2 linked regions of the Saccharomyces cerevisiae S288C genome follow. The gene in region 2 interacts genetically with the main gene of each other region. Each region holds a gene or a part of one and is shown on either strand. Other genes may lie near its edges.

The links.
Region 1: mutations in MOD5 (region 2) and TRM82 impair growth when combined (synthetic growth defect), as found in Saccharomyces cerevisiae (one study listed by BioGRID).

The regions. Positions count from the first base shown.
Region 1 is NC_001136.10:783,278-786,705, reverse strand, and holds TRM82 (Trm82p), read right to left. Parts: upstream 1,836-3,428; coding exon 501-1,835; downstream 1-500. Other genes in the region: exocyst subunit SEC5, read left to right, coding at 1-400; SEC1 (Sec1p), read left to right, coding at 2,491-3,428. UniProt on the Saccharomyces cerevisiae protein: Required for the formation of N(7)-methylguanine at position 46 (m7G46) in tRNA, a modification required to maintain stability of tRNAs; its absence resulting in tRNA decay.
Region 2 is NC_001147.6:835,368-839,460, reverse strand, and holds MOD5 (tRNA dimethylallyltransferase), read right to left. Parts: upstream 1,788-4,093; coding exon 501-1,787; downstream 1-500. Other genes in the region: RIM20 (Rim20p), read left to right, coding at 1-377; TPO4 (Tpo4p), read left to right, coding at 3,030-4,093. UniProt on the Saccharomyces cerevisiae protein: Catalyzes the transfer of a dimethylallyl group onto the adenine at position 37 in the anticodon loop on a specific subset of tRNAs both in the cytosol and the mitochondrion, leading to the formation of N6-(dimethylallyl)adenosine (i(6)A).

The sequences.
Region 1 (3,428 bases), on a different chromosome or scaffold from region 2:
GTATACATCAAATTCATTCAGGGTTGGTGACTATATTATAGAAGCGTTAATGATTCTGATCGTGGTTCACAGTGAGTGCTTTAGAATTGGGCCTCAGCTCATCCATAAGATTTTAATTGAAACGCAGATTTTTATAGCCAGATACCTCTTTGAGGCATTTAAGCCTTATGTTGGTAATCTTTCTAATGATGGCTCATTACAAATTATAGTGGATTTGGAATTCTTTCAGAAGGTTATGGGTCCTTTACTTGAAAAGGACACCGAGGCCACATTAAGGGCGTGCTTACAAAACTGTTTCCAGAACGACACAAATAGACTACAAAAATGTATCAATGAGATTAATCCTATTGTATCTGCCAATTTAAAAAGAACTGCTATTCAATTCGCCGCCTTCAGCTAGAAACAGAGGTATAAAGATGTACTAACAATGATTATTAACACAAATCGGTACGTATCTTTTTTTATATTAGTTATAAAGATGTACTTACTACCTTTTTATTTCACGAGTAATGTTCTCCATGTTTTCTTAACGAGGAAACATTGTATAACGGGTAAATTTCTTCTTTCTTGGTCACCAAGTTAGAATCCCCTTGTACTGATTGTATGATGGCACTGTCAAATTCGTTTGATTTTTCATTATTCACGACAAAACTATTCTCATTTAAGTTATATTCAATGAATTTGGCAAAATTTTTTTGCACACCAGATGATTCCTTATTATCTAGGGTGACTTGGAATTCATCATTATGGGCGGATAATGAGATAACATTATATGGAAAAGTTATAATTTGCTTTAGTGCAAGATCCCCTTTTTGTTTTTCGGACATTTCCAGAATTATTATGCATTTTGTAGCTTCGACGAAAAACGCAACAAACGGTAGGTTCTTTGACTTTATAATTTTACTAACTGCAAATTCAATAATATCATTATTTTCATTTTGAAATCTTGGTGGTGCTAAATGCTGATCATTCAAATAAGGTTTAATCAAACTATTATAATCGAAGGTAGACAAGTTCTTACCAGTTTTCCAATCCCAAGCGAAGATTTTATCGTCACCACCTGCACTTAATAATAAATAGTCTTTGCCACAGCATATGGAAGAAACAAAATGCTTATGACCAAAGAGCCATTTGTCCACAATGAAACATTGGGGATAATGCGAAATTTTAATATGCTCATCTCTATCACTTGTAATTATGAATTGATGACCGTCAGAGTCTTTAATCAAGTGTACATCAGTCAACATAGAGACATGACCGAGAATAGGTTCTTGAGTAAACTTTTCTTCCGGGATAGAATTAATATCAATAGAATATACATCACCAAATTTGTCAGCTATTATGACTGTAGTATCATCTTCGGCTATAGAAATAGCATTCGGTCTCTTTGAGAAGCAGAACCTTTTTCTCAACTTTAAGACATTTTTGGAAGTTTTGTCGACATCGAAAACTAGGAGGGACTTGTCAGAATCTGCGCACGCAATTAGTCTTGATTCATCCGAAGTTAATCTCAGATTTCTTATGTACGAATATATCGGTGGGGCGCCAAGACCTGGAGATGGTACCTTGGCTGCTGTCCTTTTAATGGAATCGCCTTTATTACTTTTCAATTTTTTGTTCTCGTTTTCGTTTTCGCTGGATTGTCCTTGTTGCTCCTTAGCAGTGGTGTTTCTCGATTCTTGAATTTTGTCGAAATCATCAGACCATTTTCCAGCAAATTCCCAATGATTTGGCGATTGATATTTGAAGCTTAAGATACAATTCTTAATGATGGCGAAAACTAATGAGCCATCACGAGAGGTGAGTAAATTCTGCAAAGGATGAATGACGCTCATTGTAAAACACGCGGACTGCTTCAAATTGACAAACCTTGCTATACTTTAGCTGCTAATATATCATCAATACGCCTTTACTAGTAAAAAATTTTTTCATCTCATCGATTTTTTTCACCTCGCCATTTTTTTCGCTGATTAAAAGAAATGTATCTGAGATAAGTGCCATATTTAATGACAGCAGCGTAAAATAAGAATATGTAACGATACAATAAGAAAACTATGTTTATGTGTCACCTCTTGCTTGCGTCTTGGGAAAAGCATTCCCAATAACAGAATACTAAACCGGATGTAGTAGCCCTCTTAGTTTTTCTATCTAACATGTCCATCCTCCTGGATCAAAATATCAGTAATCTTGTATTCCTTACTTGCGATACAGCTATTATTACAGGCACTCTTTAAAAATCATCGAATAGCCGATCGACTACACACTTATCCCTATAACATGGTGTAAGTGATAGAGAGGTGAATGGCGGCGTCGTCTTATGTTCTCGCAATTATTGGTAGATGGTCACACAGCACGGTGTTTTTCTTTTGCTTAAACGATCAGTTTAAGTCCCTATTGAAACTAGTAAGACATTGCTTTGTAAGACCTTGAAAATAATTAGAATCCACTGACAAAGTAGAAGAGTGTGCACATGCTTGGTTTGGCGGAACGATGTCTGATTTAATTGAATTACAGAGGAACTATTTGATAGGGGTTTTGAATCAGATTGAGACGAAAAATAACTTGAAGTTTCTTATTATCGATAAAACTGTGGAGACAATATTGAGTTATCTTTTCCTCACACCCCAAGAACTTTTAAATAATGTCACATCTGTTGATTTGATTGATTCCCCAACAAGAAAAGGACAATCCTCCATCGAGGCAATTTACATATTGGAACCAACGAAATATAACATCAATTGTATCGATGCTGACTTCATGGTAAGACCACCTAAGTACAGAAGATGTCACATCAGATTTTTACCAGGATTAACAAACCCTATATTTCAGTTTTTTCAATCAAAACGTTACATTGCTCAAAATTTGGAGTCATTTAAGCCGATCGAACTAGGGTTTTTCGTCAAAGAATCTCAATTCTTCGAAACTTTACAAATGGAACACTCATTACAGGTTTTTTTCAACAACAACTGTAAGGCTTTGATTCCTACTAACGTGAGGAAGATTGTAGGCTCACTAGTTAGTTTGTGTGTTATTACGGGGGAATATCCGATTGTTAGATATTCTGTATCTAATCCTGTGGAAGAGGAAGATGCCCGCAATGGAAACGCCGTAGTCAACGCAAATTCTTTAACAAGGTCTATTGCAAACGCTTTCCAAATAGCGATAGATACATACGCTCGCAATAATCCAGATTTCCCTCCTCAAAACACTGAAAGACCGCGTTCCATTCTAATAATCACCGATAGAACACTGGACCCTTTTGCGCCAATATTACATGATTTTAGCTATCAAGCAATGGCTTATGACCTGGTAGCTAATGTGGACACACAAAAAGATATATATCATTATTCTGCCGAGAATGAAGCTGGTGAGCAAGAGGAAAAGGTTTCAAAATTGGTAGATTTGTATGATCCTGACTGGATTGATTT
Region 2 (4,093 bases):
CAGTCGACTTTGAACCCATTTTCATAGGCCATTTAAAATACTTTGACGAAGATTTAAGATACGTTAATAGTACAAAGGAAGAAAATATCAAACTTATTGAGGAAGTAAACCTAAGTAAGAAGAATAACCCCGGCAGAAGCGGGATTGAACCAAAGAAAATGGTAAGAATAGATCCCAGAGAGCTATATATTGAAGATCTGAGATATTCCTTCAAACTGCTTGATGAGGTGAAAGAAAATTTAAGTGCCGGCACAGCATTTTACGAAAATTTAATTACTTCTACCAGCAATCTGTACAATGAGGTACAGGAATATGATACAGCAAGAAGAGCAGAAAAAGCTAGGCTTGATAAGAGTTTGACATTTGAAGACCAATGATACCTGTCCTCATTCATCTATAAAGTATATTTTGAGCTTGTCATCCTCCCTTTCCATTATCAAAACCCAGCTTCACTTATGTAGATATATACACTCAGGATAAACTCCTTTTTCCTAATATTTTCATTCCACAGTCTCCTTCTTGTTTATTTTCCATTTTTCAAAATCAGCTTGACGAGTGTTTCTTTTCAAGTTGGATTTATGTCTTCTGCTACCCAAATGAATTTTCCAATATTTTTCGCCAATAGCTACAACGTTCTTACCATCTGCGTTACGACAGACGTTGCAAGTATAATGTGTCCAATCGTCCAATTTCTTCATCGTAGTTTCGCCTTTAGACAACAGCTCCTCTAGGGCTTTAGGTGCCCTTTCTTGCTTGATGGGTCGATTGCTAATAAAGTCATTGGAAATAGCTATCGCTCTTTGAGATGCATTCGTGTCCCATTGAGAAAGGTCAGTGGCATCCAGTAAGTATATATCGCCTTTGATGTCAGGTATCAGCATTTTCTTGATCCATTTTACCTGCCTTTTTGCGTATTGACGTGTTCTCGTTTTCATTCTTTCTATACAATCCTCCAATTTTACTGTGTTGTCATCAGTTTTCCCGGTTAGCCACGGTAAGAATTCTTTGAAGCCAATAACTTGCCAAACACCATTCTCGCATTGCTCCGGCGTAAATTTATTTTGACTGTAATATTCATATAATTGCTTGATTTCTTGCAAGGCGCCTCTTTCTAGCATGTCGTCTACACGATCGTCAAGCCTTTGGAAAAGTGGCTCCGGCTTACTGTATAGCCATAAAAATAGGGTATCAAACTTCAAAGTTATTTTTTGTTCGTTAAATGTCTCGCTTGGTTTTTTGCCCGTCTTATAGTAGATTTCCAACATTCGTTGTACCCTCCTGTAGTCATTAGGATGGTATTTGGTAGCTATATCAGGATCACACTTCACAAGTGTGTTATAAATCACATCAGGGTCAGTCGATTCCAAAATATCGAGCTGCTTCCTTGTGAGCTTACGTTCGGATGATTTCGTATCGACCCGCTTATTGAAAAGAGTCTGCAAATAATAATGAGTACCCCCAACAACGATGGGTATCTTACCCCTCCGGTGAATATCTTCAATAGCGTTCATGCATTCAGTTTCAAAACGATGGGAATAGTATTCTTCTGACCAATCTACGTGATTCATTACATGGTGAGGAATGCCCTCTCTTTCTTGAAGCGGATGTTTATTTGTTATAATAGGAATATCTTTATATACCTGCATAGAATCCGAATTGATAACTTCGCCATTAAATTTTTGTGCCAATTGTATGGACAACTGAGACTTTCCTACTCCTGTTGTACCAGCAATCACTATAACTTTTTTAGACATATTTAAGCAACCTTTAAGCGGTCCCTTTAGCATGAAGATTTTTGGTTCTATTTACAAAAGATATGTACGTATAGTAGCTTATCTAATAAACTATACAGCCCTCACTGAGCTTTTCTTCTTTTTTGCCATTTTAGAATTTTTTTCTGTTTTAATTTTCTTTCCGATGAGCGAAAGATGAACGTGTGCTTTCGCCTGATTCAGTAATCAAGATCTTAGATCGACGTTGCCATCGAGGAGCAGCAACATAAGGAACTTTTACCTGATTTTAGCTTATACGAGCAAAATTCGCTCTTTATCTTTCGAAGGCATGACCACAATAGCGCAAGTAGATATGTAAATAAATCTTCCTAAACCGGTCTCGGAATGCAAAGAGCTTCGTATTTCAAAATTACCCGAATCCTATACATGTCAGGAATCAGGTTATACTCCCTAGCTCTTTTCCTGTTTGTCCATCTTTTTCCTATCATAGATGGTTATGGAGGCGGCTGTTTCTGTAAGAACTACGGAGTCGCGGCCCGGAATGGGAGAAATGCGAAGAAGCAGGCCGCAAGTGGAAGAAATTATTGGGGTAAAAGATCAACTAATGAACTCTGGATATAAAAAGTACAGTTAGCGTTTCTTCCCAACTTTCTTATGCTGCTATCAGCAAATGCATTTGCATAGGCTACAAGCCACAAGCCACAAGCCAATAAGGCATATGAATAATAAGAGAAAAAGTGCCTAATTGCTGTTTATATCAACCGTATGGCGTGCTTTAGCTGCAATAAACTTGTTTTCGCCGATTACCACTAATGGCCGACTTCCACGGATCCCAAAAATAGTGCCACGTCGGTACGGTCGGGCATAGTGGTTATTATTTCCGGGTTGTGACCCGCTTCGGATAATTGATCTATCCCCGAGGTAATAGGCCCGTGCGGTTCCGTCTTCATGAAGCTGCAGGGGCTCCGCTTAAAAGCCCCTGACGGCTCACCTTAAATCCGTGTTACGACACTATGCCAAATGAAGGAAACACTGAAATGATTGCATACCCGCACTCGTGCTTACATGCTAATTGTCCTTGTCAGAGCAAACGGTACCGGAGGCTTGAATGTGTTTATGTGTATATATATATTCGCCTGTATGGAAAGTTATAGGTTGTCAATTTGTTGTACCTGACACATCGATTTTCTAGTCATCACTTTCCTGAAAATTACAGAATAAAGATACCATCTTATACACACACATACACACACAAAGAAGCATAGACATCGTATACATATATTTTAAGTTTTACTAATGCCTTCTTCTTTGACAAAAACCGAATCTAACTCAGATCCTCGAACAAACATACAGCAGGTACCAAAAGCCTTGGACAAAAATGTAACTAATAGCGGCAACTTGGATTCGACTTCTTCTTCGACAGGGTCAATAACAGAGGACGAAAAAAGATCAGAACCGAATGCAGATTCCAATAACATGACAGGGGGCGAGCCAATTGACCCAAGAGATCTCGATTGGGACGGGCCCGATGACCCAGACAATCCGCATAATTGGTCCTCTTTGAAGAAATGGTATACTACTATGACTTCAGCTTTTCTTTGTTTGGTCGTCACAATGGGTAGTTCCCTATATGTTTCTTCCGTACCAGAATTGGTAGAAAGATATCACGTTAGTCAGACTTTGGCGCTTGCTGGTTTAACTTTCTATCTTCTGGGTTTATCGACTGTCATCGGCGCTCCATTAAGTGAAGTGTTTGGTCGTAAGCCTGTCTATTTATTTTCCCTACCTGTGTCAATGCTTTTCACCATGGGTGTTGGGTTATCCAATGGCCACATGAGAATAATTCTACCCCTAAGGTTTTTATCAGGTGTCTTTGCATCCCCCGCCTTATCCGTTGGATCAGGTACCATCCTGGATATCTTTGACGTGGACCAGGTCTCCGTCGCAATGACATACTTTGTTCTATCTCCATTCTTAGGGCCAGTTTTATCTCCTATTATGGCAGGATTTGCTACTGAAGCCAAAGGCTGGCGTTGGTCTGAATGGATCCAATTGATTGCGGGCGGTCTAATCTTGCCATTTATTGCGCTCATGCCAGAGACCCATAAAGGTATTATTTTAAGAAAGCGTGCCAAGAAGAGAAATATAGCCTTGAAGAAGTTCAGCAGGGAAGCTCAGAAAGAATTTTTAAAAACCACTGTCACTATTACAATCTTAAGGCCTTTAAAAATGCTTGTCGTTGAACCTATTGTATTTGTTTTCAGTGTTTATGTCGCTTTCATATTCGCCATTTTATTTGGATTTTTCGAAGCATACGCTGTCATTTATCGTGGTGTTTACCACATGTCTATGGGGATATC